2 linked regions of the Astyanax mexicanus genome follow. The main gene of each other region encodes a partner of the protein of the gene in region 2 in a complex. Links are inferred from orthologs where the notes say so. Each region holds a gene or a part of one and is shown on either strand. Other genes may lie near its edges.

Evidence for each region. The genes of interacting proteins can lie anywhere in the genome.
Region 1: the proteins of pigs (region 2) and pigu are in contact, whole or in part, in a cryo-EM structure (PDB 8IMX), measured with the Homo sapiens proteins. The link is inferred for Astyanax mexicanus from reciprocal best matches to the Homo sapiens genes PIGS and PIGU. Residues at the interface, in NP_149975.1 of Homo sapiens: Ala4, Gly5, Ala8, Thr9, Glu12, Arg15, Arg18, Ala19, Phe22, Phe23, Val26, Leu30, Leu34, Trp35, Thr38, Thr39, Leu510, Leu511, Phe513, Ile521, Tyr522, Leu525, Phe526; in NP_536724.1 of Homo sapiens: Gln118, Phe282, Glu283, His284, Phe285, Leu287, Phe288, Phe289, Cys291, Val292, Phe293, Ile295, Phe299, Tyr300, Ile302, Pro303, Ile306, Lys307, Lys309, Glu310, Thr417, His418.

What each region holds. Positions count from the first base shown.
Region 1 is NC_064412.1:58,073,842-58,080,866, reverse strand, and holds the start of pigu (phosphatidylinositol glycan anchor biosynthesis class U protein), read right to left. Parts: upstream 3,025-7,025; 5' UTR 3,002-3,024; coding exon 2,872-3,001; intron 1,721-2,871; coding exon 1,656-1,720; intron 1,554-1,655; coding exon 1,494-1,553; intron 563-1,493; coding exon 500-562; intron 122-499; coding exon 12-121; intron 1-11. Other genes in the region: uncharacterized protein si:dkey-6e2.2, read left to right, coding at 3,444-3,486, 4,961-5,245, 5,327-5,402, 5,596-5,908. UniProt on the Homo sapiens protein: Component of the glycosylphosphatidylinositol-anchor (GPI-anchor) transamidase (GPI-T) complex that catalyzes the formation of the linkage between a proprotein and a GPI-anchor and participates in GPI anchored protein biosynthesis.
Region 2 is NC_064424.1:13,017,357-13,024,298, forward strand, and holds the start of pigs (GPI transamidase component PIG-S), read right to left. Parts: upstream 3,025-6,942; 5' UTR 2,973-3,024; coding exon 2,954-2,972; intron 2,602-2,953; coding exon 2,462-2,601; intron 1,228-2,461; coding exon 1,116-1,227; intron 1,025-1,115; coding exon 935-1,024; intron 816-934; coding exon 724-815; intron 615-723; coding exon 377-614; intron 1-376. Other genes in the region: aldocb (fructose-bisphosphate aldolase C-B), read right to left, coding at 6,155-6,247, 6,812-6,942. UniProt on the Homo sapiens protein: Component of the glycosylphosphatidylinositol-anchor (GPI-anchor) transamidase (GPI-T) complex that catalyzes the formation of the linkage between a proprotein and a GPI-anchor and participates in GPI anchored protein biosynthesis.

The DNA of each region.
Region 1 (7,025 bases), on a different chromosome or scaffold from region 2:
TCACAACTCACAACGTCGCCACTTTGAGAGGGATGTAGAACATCTCTTTAGGGGAGCGCATGAGCTCCAGACAGTCGGGTGGGTATCTGTTGGCCTCCAGAGCGTATTTCTGTTTCCTAAACTACAATAAAACACAAGCAGGTTAAATTCACCCCTCAGTAAAGACAGATTACCTTCAATTACCTGTTTAATCAGCAGATACACTTCATTAATAGAACAGATCAGTCTAAATCACAGTAACATGCTGAACACTGAGACAAATTTAATTCATAATTCTAGACCACCTAAAGTATATGAACATCTGTATATTTATTATGCTCGTTAGAGGTGTGAGGAGATGAGGCATGATATTGAGGACTGCAGAGAGAGTTTCTGCAGTACAGAGAGATGAACTCCGCTCTGATCTGTGTGAGGATGTACAGTGAGGACTGATATAAACAGTGTAAATGTAAAACTGAACAGTGTCTCACTGATGAAGACGAGTCCTCCTCTTACTCACCACATTCCTGTTGTAGTTCTGAACAGCCAGATACAGCGCCACCGCCGTGATTCCATCTGCTATCTGCAGAGAGAGAGGATTAACACAGAGCTGTGACTCAGACCAGATCACGCCTGATTCAGATACTCTCTCTTCCTCTTCATCATCTGTCTGTTACAGCCAACACTGCTCTCGCGCTACAGCAGGACTCTCTCTCATGGGAACGCGAGTGTGTTACATACACACACAACATAGAAACACACACGCAAGGTCGCGCTGAAACTCGCTTTACATCAGGGACTCCCAATCAGGAAAACATCAACTTTAATTCTGTTTTCTTCTTCTAATTTTACCAAATTTTCACACAGCAGCACAAACCCAACTTTTACATCAACAATAAACAGAATAGTAAATAAAATAACATTGCTGTTCCCGTAAATGAGCTGCTGGAGCTCCTTCACAGCGTCAACCAGCAGCTCAGTTTTACTCTGCTGAGAAGAGTTTGTTGAACACGTCCAGGTAGCTGCACCGTTACAATAGCAATCCACCAAAGACAGAGCTCACCTGATCTACTCTTAAAGAGAATGATGAAGAAGAGACGCTCTGATTGGTTTATTATTTCACGTTACGCCCAAAATTATAATAAACTCACACCCATGATTAATTAAGAGAATTAGTACAGCCTTTTGTGTGTTTCAACTTGAGCAAGGTGTACTTTTCCCGTTGTTACGATAGCAAAGACACACTGACACCACGCCCTACATCAAGCTGCATGGTACACGGTTGGACTATGGATGACTAAAATTGAGCCCATTGTATTCATACCTATACACACAAGCACAGCTAGTATAATATGGAGGATAGAGGAAAAGAGAAGAGTGTGACAGGGATGGGATTTATTTCACTTTCTTGCAGAAGATTTACAATAAATTGAAAATTATACATATTTACTATAAACACAGACAGGGATATAAAGAGAATGAGACGTAATCAATATAAGACTTCAAATACTCACCATAAACACAATCTCTGCATAGTCCACAACAAAATGAAAGAGGTATATGATGAGGGGCGTCTAAAACAAGGGAGAAACACAGACACACACTAATCTCTAATATCTGCAGTAAGCAGTGATTTAATAAATCAGATCACACGTCTCTGAAACTACAGAACTCACTTCATGAAACACGTCTCCTGAGTACGGCGAGACTCCGAGGTCCAGCAGCGCCAGGCCTTCCACCACTGAGGAACACACACACACACACACACACACACTGTTTTAATACTGGAGATCTGCAGAACTCAGTATTCATATTCTTTTACTGTTTAGATCAAACTGATTGACTAGATTTGCTCCTGACCAGCACAGGGTATAATTCCAGTTGTGTGTAAGGGTTTATATTAGATAAGAGTATAATAAAATGCTGTGACATGATAAGAAGAATAAACTAAAATAGAAAATGATCAAAATAATGTGATGCTGTGATTGTATATATATAAAATAAAAATAAGAGAGCACTTTAAAACGATGAGTTTCTTTGATGTTACCAAATTGAAAACCTCTAGAATATAATCAAGAGGAAGATGCACCAGGAGTAAAGCAGCATAAAGTTATCCAAAAGCAGTGTGTAAGACTGGTGGAGGAGAACATGATGCCAAGGTGCATGAAAAAAACTGTGATTAAAAACCATCAGGATTATTCCACCAAATATGAACTTGTTTTCTTTGCATTATTTGAGGTCTGAAAGCTCTGCATCTTTTTTGTTATTTCAGTCATTTCTCATTTTCTGTAAATAAATGCTCTAAATGAGAATATTTTTATTTGTAATTTGGGAGAAATGTTGTCTGTAGTTTATTGAATAAAACAACAATGTTCATTTTACTCAAACATAAACCTATAAATAGCAAAATCAGAGAAACTGATTCAGAAACGGAAGTGCTCTCTTCATTTTTTACAGAGCTTTATGTATGTATAACATTAGATTAGCTAATTTAAAGCTATAGCTATATATATAAACTGTTGTCATTTTATATGTGTTTAAATATGCACTATTCCTATCACTGAATGATAAAACATTGTTTATTAATTGTAATAACACTAGTAGTTAACTGATAGCAGCTAGTTAGCTTAGCCTCGCTCCTGACAGGAGGTGGGGAACCCAGGTCCAGAAAGTAAAAATCCAGCCCCGGGTTTTGTACCCACTGCCAGGTCGCCTCTGCTGCGGGAGCCGCTCAGGCAGTTGGTATAAAACCCTGGGATGGAGTTTTACTTTCTGGACCTGGGTTCTCCACCTCTACTCCTGATCCATTAGAGCTGCATTAGCAACATTAGCTACATCCACAATATCCCCGCACCGCTGCGGCCCCGAGCCCCGCAGCGCCCCGCAGCCCACCTCTCTTCCACGCGCTGAGCGGCGACACGACCTCCACCCGCTCCGAGATCAGCTCCGCCAGGCTGGAGCGGAATAAAACCGCCCGAACCGTCACCGCCAGAACCAGAACAAGCGTTAAGGGAGCGGCCATCTTCACTGAGGAGACGCGCTAGCCGCCCTCACGGCGCGGGGTGCATTGTGGGAGGTGTAGTTTTTAGAGTAGCGGTTTTGCAAAGGCTCCCTGGTTCGGGTGAACCCGTAGGAAACTACAACTCCTAAAAAAACGCTTTTAAAAATCACCCCCCTTACTTCCCGTGACGACGCCGGAGTCGGCTTCTTTATTCGCCAGCTTCTTTAACCGAACTCCCCGTTCCACCTTAAAAATCCCAGCAGTTCCGTTCAGAACGCGCGCAGCAGTTCTAATGTACCCGCAGCGGTTAGAATGGAAAAGCTGCAGAATTTAAGGTGGACTGGAGAGTTCGATTAAGAAGCTGGCGGACAAGAAGCCAACTTCACCCTCGGCTTTTGTCGCGTGGATTCAACCTCCTAAAAAACATTAATCACCGCGATAAAATAATCATTTAGCGATCTTTATGTCTTCACTGAAATTAAAGCTCAACCGAAACCGATTAGGAGGTGAGCGCGCTTTTTTACACCACCAAAAACTGATGTTAGCCTAGTATTGATTTTAGTCTGCTAGGAGTGATTCTTACCGTAAACAGCGCCGCGTTTTATCCCGAGATAATTAAACAGGAGGATCAGCGGCCTAATTCGTATAAGATACAGAGTATTAAATCATTTTATGGCTCAAATTTTGCATGCATTTTTATTTTAATACTGATTTTAGGCTTTATTTCCAGTTTTTAGTGCAGAATGATAAAAACAGAGCTGCTGTTTTCTATTAGGCCACAGGAGCGCCTGTGTGTTTATATATAAAAACAGACTGATAATAAAAGAGCAGAGGCTGCTGGGAGTCTGTCTGTCTGTTCTGCTGCTAAAATTATGTATTTTTAGTTAGAATAGTAAAGCAGCTAAGCTCTGTTTTAGAGCTAGAGTTGTGTTTTTGTGATTTTGTGTTTTTAATCTGATTAAAGAGCTGATCTGTTACAAATATGCAGTTTTTAAATTTAATATAAGGGCCAGGGATGAGATATGTGTTCCATATTTAAAAAAATGTCCTATATTATTTAAAAAGTGAGGATAAACAGGCGAATCTCATGCATATATCGCATAGTTGTTTATGGTAATATATAATGTTTCTGATTTAATGAGAATATGGGTAAAATGAGATTTTTAGTTAAGCAGGAGGCTTATTCTGCTTAGATATTAAGTTTTAAATCCTTTTAAAATCCTTTTATGGCTCAAATGTTGCATGATGTAGTGCACTTTTTGTATTGGTGTTTCCATGTTTTTTTAGTAAATGCATGTTTTTTCTTTTTTTTAGTTTACTACATAATTTTTTCACACAAACCTTACAATGTATCACAATTTTTGTTGAATGCACCTTTTTTACATTGACTCCCATTGAAAGTGATGAAGGTTTCATTTCTGTCCTGTAAAATTGCTGTATTGTAGATACAAGATAAAACCCACTGCTGAGCAAAAAGAACATTGTTCTGTTACATCTGGTGTAAAAGTAACCTTTCAGAAAAAGAGCATCATACTACAGTAAAACATGGGGGTGGTAGTGTGATGATCTGGAGCTGCTTTGCTGTGTCAGGACCTGGGAGACTTGCTGTGATAAATGGAACCTGAATAAGAATCTCCGTCCATCTGTTCTTGACCTCAAGCTGAAGTGAACTTGGGTTCTGCAGCAGGACAATGACCCAAAACTCTCCAGCAGGTTCAGCTCTGATTGGCTGAGGCAAAACCGAGTGAAGACTTTGGAGTGGCCGAGTTAAAGTCCTGTAATTACTTTCATGTGAATGGGTGTGGCTGATCAGCTGTAGATTGAGTAGGCAGGGTTAAAGTGCAGTTATTGATTAGTGTATTTATGTATTGATTAGTGCATTTATGTATTGATCAGTGTTTTATTTATGTATTGATTAGTGTATTTATGTATTGATTAGTGTATTTATGTATTGATCAGTGTTTTTTCCCGGTCCTGTAGTTGATCTGTACGAAGCTCCGATGAGGCCGCGGAAGCCGAACTGGTCGACGGAGCAGAAGCTGCTGCTGGTGCAGCTGGTGAAGGCCCGGCGGATGGACCTGCTGACCGGCCGGCACTCCTGCCGCGAGATCGCCACCAACCGGCGGTGGGCGTGGGACGAGATCGCCGAGGAGATCTCCACCGCCCACCCGGACGTCCCGCGCACCGGGAAAGAGTGCGAGAGGCACTGGTTCGTGGAGCTCGCTAAAGCTAAAGAGGCTATGCTAACCCATCCGTCACCCACAGGTGAGCTAAGCCCATCCCCCTCCACCTGATTATCTGATTATCCTGTTTATTAATCAGTTTATTATTGATTATTGACTGCAGATCACGTCAGCCCCGTTACCAAGGTCGTGCTGGATATTCTCAAAATACAGAGAAAGGAGGCGGAGCTTAAAGACAGGTAAACTTTCATTATCATATTTACACGCATTTATTTCTTTATCTAAAGAGATTTATTTTTACTTTTTTACGTTTTGTTTCCATTTTAAAACTTTTTTACTTTAAAATATTTTATTTCGTTTTATCATTTCTGTTTAATGAATTTAGTCTGTCTGTCTGTCTGTCTGTCTGTCTGTCTGTCTGTGTGTTTTTAGATTAGAGGAGGAGAGCAGCGTGATCTTCGAGGAGGATCAGGTGGAGGTGAAGTACATCCCCTCTCCGGTTCCTCCAATCATGAACATCGAGCTTCCTGTCAATCATATAAACCACGATATCGTCAGACACGAGATTCCTCCTGTGAGTCCTCCTCGCTCCCCCTCCCCCTCCCCCTCCGCCTCCGCCTCCGGCGAGAAGACGGATCTGGAGATGGCGGTTCTGCGGCGTCAGGAACGGGTTCTCCAGCTACAGGAGGAATATTACTCCCTCAAAATCAAACACCTGAAAGCCCGGATGCTGATGGATCTTTGATGTGAGAGAAGATCCGCGCGGAAACTGACTCTTATTGCCTTAATAAACACTAGAACTCCGGTTTAGAACCTTTAGAACCTTCAGGACTGAAACTGCTGAACCAAAAGACGCCGAGCAGAACCTCCGCTTCCTCCTGAACCTTCAGCCCGAGGACCCGTGGTGAACTCCAGTGTTCAGAGTGTGATATGACACCTTTTCACCAGTAGATGGCAAGGTGGAACTTTATACTCTCAGTAGTGACTCTGTTTGAAGATTAGAGGAGAAATCTGATCAGAGGTGGTTTCAGGTGATCAGACCAGATTTCTCTGATTAAATAGAAATAAAAGTAGCATTTCTGAAGTTAAAACTAGCTCCAGATGTAGATTTATCTCATTAAAACGTTCAGATTCAAAGCTTTAGCTGGGAGGAACGATACGCTGGTGAGTGAAAACATCTTAAATTTAGTGTAAATATCAATATCAATTTCTTTTTATAATTATTTAACTTATTTCTACTAGTTTTAAACGTTTGTATTCAGTGAAATTTATCTTATTCTGTTTTTTTCAGCATTTGTAGCAGCATTGTGTCTTAAACAAGTCAAGAGACTTTTATAGAATAGAATAAGATAATTAATGTAGATATGAGTAGAAATAGGTCATTTAATAACTAGAAATAAGTAAAAGTATCTTCATGTTATTTTATGATATATATGTTGAACATATTGACTGGATTTAATATGATTTCTCACCAAATGAACTCACAGCCCAGTTTTCAGTTCAGCCAATCAGCCATAATATTATAACCACCTGCTGAGTGTTGTTTAGGTTGTTTAAGATCTGTAAGTGATATAAAGTCCAAAAGGATCAAACGCCTCCATCCGGTCGGTACTGAGCAGTGCATTCTGGGAAAACTCCACAGGACCTGTCTGATGTTCTGGAGATGTTCTGACCTCGTCTGCTTTCCATTACATGTTTGTTTCTTGTTAAATTTACGGACTGTCCACTTCCTGCCTGATGCTGCAGATCCAGTATCATATCAGATCATCAGGACTTTTATTATGACAGTATTGTTCTGATTATATTTGATCGACTGTTTAAACAGGTTGTTTCAGCCCTGCTGATTCTTCAGTGCATGTTCA
Region 2 (6,942 bases):
GGCATAAAGTTATACAAAAGCAGTGTGTAAGACTGGTGGAGGAGAACATGCCAAGATGCATGAAAACTGTGATTAAAAAACAGAGTTATTACACCAAATGTTGATTTCTGAAATCTTAAAACTTTATGAATATGAGCTTGTTTTCTTTGCATTATTTCAGGTTTGAAATATGAGATTATTTCAGCCGATTCTCATTTTCTGCAAATAAATGCTCTAAATGACAATATTTTTATTTGGAATTTGGGAGAAATGTTGTCCGTAGTTTATAAAATAAAACCACAATGTTCATTTTACTCAAATATATACCTATAAATAGCTGAATCAGAGAAACTGATTCAGAACTGATTCCAGAGCTGTATATGGACAGATATCACACCTGGACTGGACTTTATGGCCCTCATGCTGTCAGCCAGTCTCTCCTTGCTGACTTGGCCGATGCGGATGCGATCACTCAGGGCAGCCAGAATGTCCGGGTGGCTGAAGGACATGGTATCGGCCACTTGCTTGACCTGAGGCTCCAGAGAAGACAGCACCTCCTTTAGACCAGCAGCCCCCTCAAATGGAGCAGCACGCAGCAGAGCAGTGCGCCGCTTCCCAACATACACCTTCATATCCTGAGAGACAGCAGAGAGAAACCTGTTACACAATAATTTAAAGAACAAAGGTTCCCTCATTTCTTAAATCCCACCTTAACAATTGGAATAGTGTATGTGCATGTCTTACCGCTGGCAGCAGGGTGGAGCTTTCAGGGATGATATACACCACCACAGACCCACAGGCACTCTCACTAAGCATATGCAGGGACAGATCTGCCTCTGTAGAAAGGAAATTCAAGCAAAGCATGAAGGCAGGTATTTCTATCATCATGCTTAATCATTACTAATCACATGACAAGATAAAACAGTGTATACAATTCAATGTAATATTTTTCAACCTTCAGCACTGGGTTGGTTCAATGCATCTTCTTCCATGATAGTAGCGGTGCGGTACTTGGTTTCATATCTGTACCGCAGCATGGTCTTTCCTGAAGTAGAGAAGATAAGAGGGGTGATCATAACATGCTCATTTTTGCTGACATTTCTTGTAGAAATGTAGAAACTTCGTAATCATCTTACCATCTACTTGATTCTCCTGCTCTCTGGTCTGACTGAGCGGAACCTTTGACTGCAGTTCAGGGCTCAGCGTTCCTCGAGAGAAGACCACCTCTATCTCAACACTTAACTGGAGCTATATACACAGAAAGATTTTGCAGAAAGTATTGCAATAAACCATTTTAAGACATTGACAGAATAATACAAAAATAGCTTAATTATAAGAGTCCATGGAATTTAATCTTAATATAACTGGTTTAAACAAAGTTTAATCTAAATAATCAGTAACCAGTATGGAGGTTCGTAGGAAATAGACATAATGTAATCTATGTGTCAAAATGTCTAATTTTCCAACATTTTTTCTAAAAACCACAAGTATTATTAGGGAGTTTAACATCTTTTTCCTTTGCTACAGCAACATCTTCTACTCTTCTGAAAAGTTTTTTTTTGTGAGCAATAAAAAGGTTTAAATCCTTCATATACAATAAATTCACTGTATTACTGCCCAATGTCTAAGGGCTCTAATCAATATTTGGTGACAGATGGCTTGTGGATGCTTTTCTAAAGAGGTTATATAAGCTCAAAGAAAGTCAAGCTAAAGACCATTTTTTGCTTGGTAGCTGGTTTGAGATGGTCTGAGATGGTCTAAGCTGGTCCTTGATGGTCAATGTGGTTGAAAAGCTGGTCATCCAGACAAAAACCTACCCATACATGCTGGGAGGCTATCTGGTAACCAGATGCTAATCAGCATATTGTGTTGATTTTAATTCTGGTCATGATCAGTCTTGCTGGCCAACTAGCTTGGTCAAGTTTGGGTAACTATATTGGTTATCTAACCAGCTAGCTTGATAGCATGTACAGGGCATACAGAGGATTGAAATTACATTACTCTCCATCCCAAAGTTACAAGTACAATAGTGTTGGCGGGGGGGGGGGCATGCATGAACATTAAAAATGAGGTGTAAAAGCTTAAGGCTGGTAAGGTGAATGAGTGCATACAGTTCTTTAAATGTCGCAGTTGTAAGGGGAACTAAAGTGGGTATGACAGTGCAAGTGGAAGCAGTAGTGCAGGTATGGGGTGTGAGTGCATGTCAGTTCTTGAAAAAAAAATCAATTTCTGTGTTGATTTCAGTACTAAGTTGCAGTACTGTGTTAATGGAGGGGGGGGGGTGTCAGAACGGAGATTTGGTTATATTGATTATCTAGCTAGCTTGGTCTGGTTGATCAAGGCTTATATACCAGCGAAACAATTAAATTAAAATAAAATCAATGAGCTCGTCCAGTAGCATGATGAGCTGGCTATTTTGTTTTATGGATACTCTGAGCCCATATTGCAGGTGTATCTAATAGTATAATGACTCAGAATGTACCTGTAAGGAGTCGAGCTCGCTGATCTGTGAGATGGGCAGCCAGGCTCGATAGGTCTCGGTGGTCTTCCACCACAGAGGGATCCCCAGCAAGATGACCACAGCTGCGATGGCCAGGGCAGCATATTTGCCTCGCTGCTTTTCTGTATTTTAGAGTATAAAATGCGCAATTGTGAACACATGAGGTGCGCATAATAACGGGAAACAGCAGAAACACAGCGTAATAATACATACACTATATAAACAAAGCTACCAGAACCCCCACACTGATTTCCCTTCAGCTTCAGCAGCAGCAGCAGCAGCAGACCCAGCCCTACGGGAGCTTCTGTAACTAGTGTTTAGCTAATTATTACAGCTTCAGTTTACTAAAGACACGCACACACAAACATTCTCATACACTAAACACACCCAGTACAAACTCAATACCCCGCGTTATAAACCTCAATAAAGCCTCTAATGCAGAAAAAAATGCAGTAATATTAATAAATGACTCGCCTGCCTCGATCGATGCCATGACTACAGGAAACTACTACCGGGGCCTGACAAAGCGCTCTGGCCAATCAGAGCAGAGGAGAGGCGGAGTTATGAGTCTACGGGTACCCGGGAAGGACAAATAACGTAAAAAACAACAACAACTATTGTAGCCGATAGATTTTCAACAGTGCATTAAACAAGCACAGGCTACACATCATATACCAGCCAGCCAGAGTTGTGGTTATTTTACGCTTTTAAAGGGAAGGTTTTAGACTGAGTTTGAGCTGGATTTTTTTTTTGGACCTGGCAACCCTGTAGCCACCACAACCTAGCACATTTTAAAGCAGCCGGTGTTTTGCCTCAATGAATCGTTCTCACCAGTGACACCTGCTGTTCAAAGAGTTATATGACAGATTAAATGAATCCTGAGCAAGAGTATCCTTAAATATCTGTGTATAAAATAAATTATTTTGCCACTCTGTCTCAATTAATATAATAATGTATTTTTAATGGAAATAGCTGAGTGTTGTTGTACACTGACACTGAACACAATAGTGCTTATGGAACTGGGGGAGTTAAGCACAATAAACTGCATCAGAGTAGTATGTGCAAAAGGACAAATATAACATTAATTCTTATAAAAAAAGAAGCTTTATAACTGTGTTGGGGTGGAGGTGATAATTTTTCTTCAATAAAATCTACTCAGCATTAGAGAATACATTTTCACATGGCACTGAGGTGCCCGAAGTGCACAAACCAGCTCAGTGCTAGCCTAGCTAAAGAAAATGTAAATATTTACGAATGTTTTGTTTGCTCCAGTAAATAAATGGATCTTATGTCAACTAAAAAAAACACGAGGTGCTACAAGGCTCGAGCCCTCTTTATGCTGTAGCGACACTCAAAATGAAACGATCACGTGTCCCACAGAATCCGAGGCCTTGTTTTTTAATCAGTCACGTGATTTTTATAATAACGATACAAACCTCGAACCTGCAGGCTTCGACGCTTCACTTCAAATGACCATCGCTATCTTGCAGTGCTAGTTTAGCTGTATATAACGAAGCAACATTTAGAACTGAACGCCTTTAAACCGTAATGATCGATATTAGAACAAAGAAGTTCACATAGGAATACCTGATATTTAGCAGTTTAATTTCAATTATACTCCCCCTTTGATCTCAGAAGTCTGAATGACTTCTTTATTCTAACAGCAAGTCTTGGGCTCCTAAAATGTATTTTACTCTGGACTCAACATGGGAGGTTTTACCACCAGAGTAGGATTTTCGGTTATTGGTGGGAGTAGGATTTAGTTTTGGCATTGTGTCATTTTTACAGGATTTACTCTTTACTGTACTTCAGCTTTATATTTTTCTGCACACTGTGCTTAAAAAAAACTCTCCATATACCAGTTATTGTGTCTACTGCTTAAAATGTGCCGTTGGAAGGTTTGTGTCGGATGCTTAAAATGTGTTGAATGGTGCTCTCTAGATGCTCCTAGATTGTGTTTTGATGGTGCACCAGTGTCTGCTAGTTTAGGACGTGCCAGAGTATGCGACAGCCATTTACCACGTGCTGGATGGTGTGCCAGGCTGGTTTCGGAGGTGCAGGCTGCTGTAGATTGTGTCAAATTAAGTGCCAACGGTTTTGTAGCATGTGTCAGACAGCGTGCTGGCTGGTTTAGAGTTGTGGTGATGGCTGCTTAATATGTGCCAGAGGATGTGGTTTAGAATGTGCTTGTTAGTGTGCGCACTACTTCATGACATGCCGGTTACCGTGCCAACTCAAGAGGTGAAGAAAATAAGTCTTGGCTTTTAATTAAAGTGTAGAATTTTTCTTATAATTGAAGCCATTTAACAAAAAGACGTTTTCACATTGTACATGGAAGCTGCTGTGCTTAAATAACGTTAAAGACAGTTTAGACAGCATAAACTAAAGGATTATCCACTTTTTGTATATCCACTGTGGTAGGAAGCTGGGCCTGATAAGATAATGTAAGCACATGCTCTGTGTTTTCTCAAACTCCAACAGCAGATAAAGTGTATATTTCAAAAATGAACAGACATGTCTTGAATTTTAAATTATTTTATTTTATAGTTTTTGTTTCTAATCTTACACACCAAGTGCTTGAGAGGACAACAACACAATGACATCACAGTTTATCCAAACCAGCAGTGACTATGCTCTTTCTCCCTCTGCCAAACAAAACTGCAGAAGTTTGGTCCAAGCGGCAAAGTTAAGCCATGGAATTATGCTTTACATTACGTTATTTACGTTACATGGTAATCTTTATAGTACTTCAGTGTACCAACGTGTCACCACACTGGGGGGAGAGAGAGCATAGCACTCATGCGGAATACACAGAATAATAGAACACATTTAATCATATAATTTTCCATATCTTTCAACCCATTTAAGTTAGTATTCTGTATTTAAAGCAAACAGACGCACACAACCCAAAAGACTCATCACTACAATAGATGAGAATAGAACACTAAATAAATGCTGCTCAGTGTCCGGTGTTAGTTGATCATTGTGAGGCTGTGCGTTGCGTAAGTGTACTGACCTACCCGCCACTCTCTCCATTGGTCCACTCTCTCCACTGATTCACCCCCTCATTGTAGAATAAGACTGATTGTTTTGTTCTTGGTTAGCATTTTCACTGTATTCTGATCAGTGCTAATGCAGACGCATTATGTCTCATAACATGAATGGATGAGACCACACAACACATCAAACTGGAGAGGCTGTAGCTGCACTTTATGGGAATGTGGGAGCTTAACTGACTCAGTGGTAAAAACTACACAAGCTGGGGAAAGGGTGTCAGAACTGAACACTTGTACAAAAAAAGTAAAGAATGTTTTCCAAAAATATAACTTGAACTAGTTGTTAATATCTAGCCGCAGTGGCAATACCATTTACTTATTAAATACAGCACGATGACCACTTTTGGTACCAGTGTTTGTATAACATTAGATTTTTCAGCATCTCCCATAACATCTGTGAGCCTTTTAAGCCCCCCTTAATCTCTTCTTTGAATCTTCTCCTTTCCATTTTCGACACATTTTAAATAGACAGAACATTAGTAGTAGAACATTGCAATGACGATCCTAAAAAGTACAGACAACAGCGCAGGCCTGTGACTGGTTGGTGACATGGAGGGTAGCAGCGGCAAAAGATACTATTGGTCGGCGGCAGCTGGAGTAGGCGGGTGATGGGAATGCTTTAATAGGCGTGGTTGGCCACATACAGGGACTGTCCTGCAGCTCCAGCGGTTCCACTGGACACATACTTGCCCCGAGAAGCCAGGCCATTAGCCTGTGGAAGAGAGAAAAAAAAAATATATATATATATATTTTTGTTACAAATATTATTGTTAGTAAGATGGAGAAAATCACAACAGAAGAGCACAAGGCTACAAGTAATTATACATTTCATTGGCACGGTCTCCCTTCATCAGCTTCCAAGTAATTATGTTAATTAGATATTGATTAGCTTGATTGATTTAGGGTTACAGAGAAAAAAAAAACAAAAAAAAAAAAACATATGCACATCCAGTCTCTTGCTGCATTCTCAAAATCATTCTCAATTATAACAAAATAATCTAAAGAGAACACAGACAGATTTGAGATTATGCTGCACTGGGCTCTACATAAATAAATAAAACCAAATTTTTGTTAATTTAGTTGTGCCAAAATGTACTTGGACATTTTTATTAAAAAATTAATAAATTGACACAGGCTTTTAGTTATGAGAGATTAAATCTTTGCTTGACAGTAATGATTTGGTTAATGAAACTGCTGTAAGATTTATACCTCTAATATCAATATGCCTCTGTGCAGTAATGGGTTTTGAATATCATGTGATATTTGAATAACTGACCTCAGCACGCTTGATAAACTCCTCAGTAGCGGCCTTCTCGTTGTCCCTGGCTCCACGCCAAGCATTGAGAGCAGAAGCCTGCAGGGCGCGGCCATAGGAGAAGGTGAGGGCCCAGGGCCTGGACAGAGGGC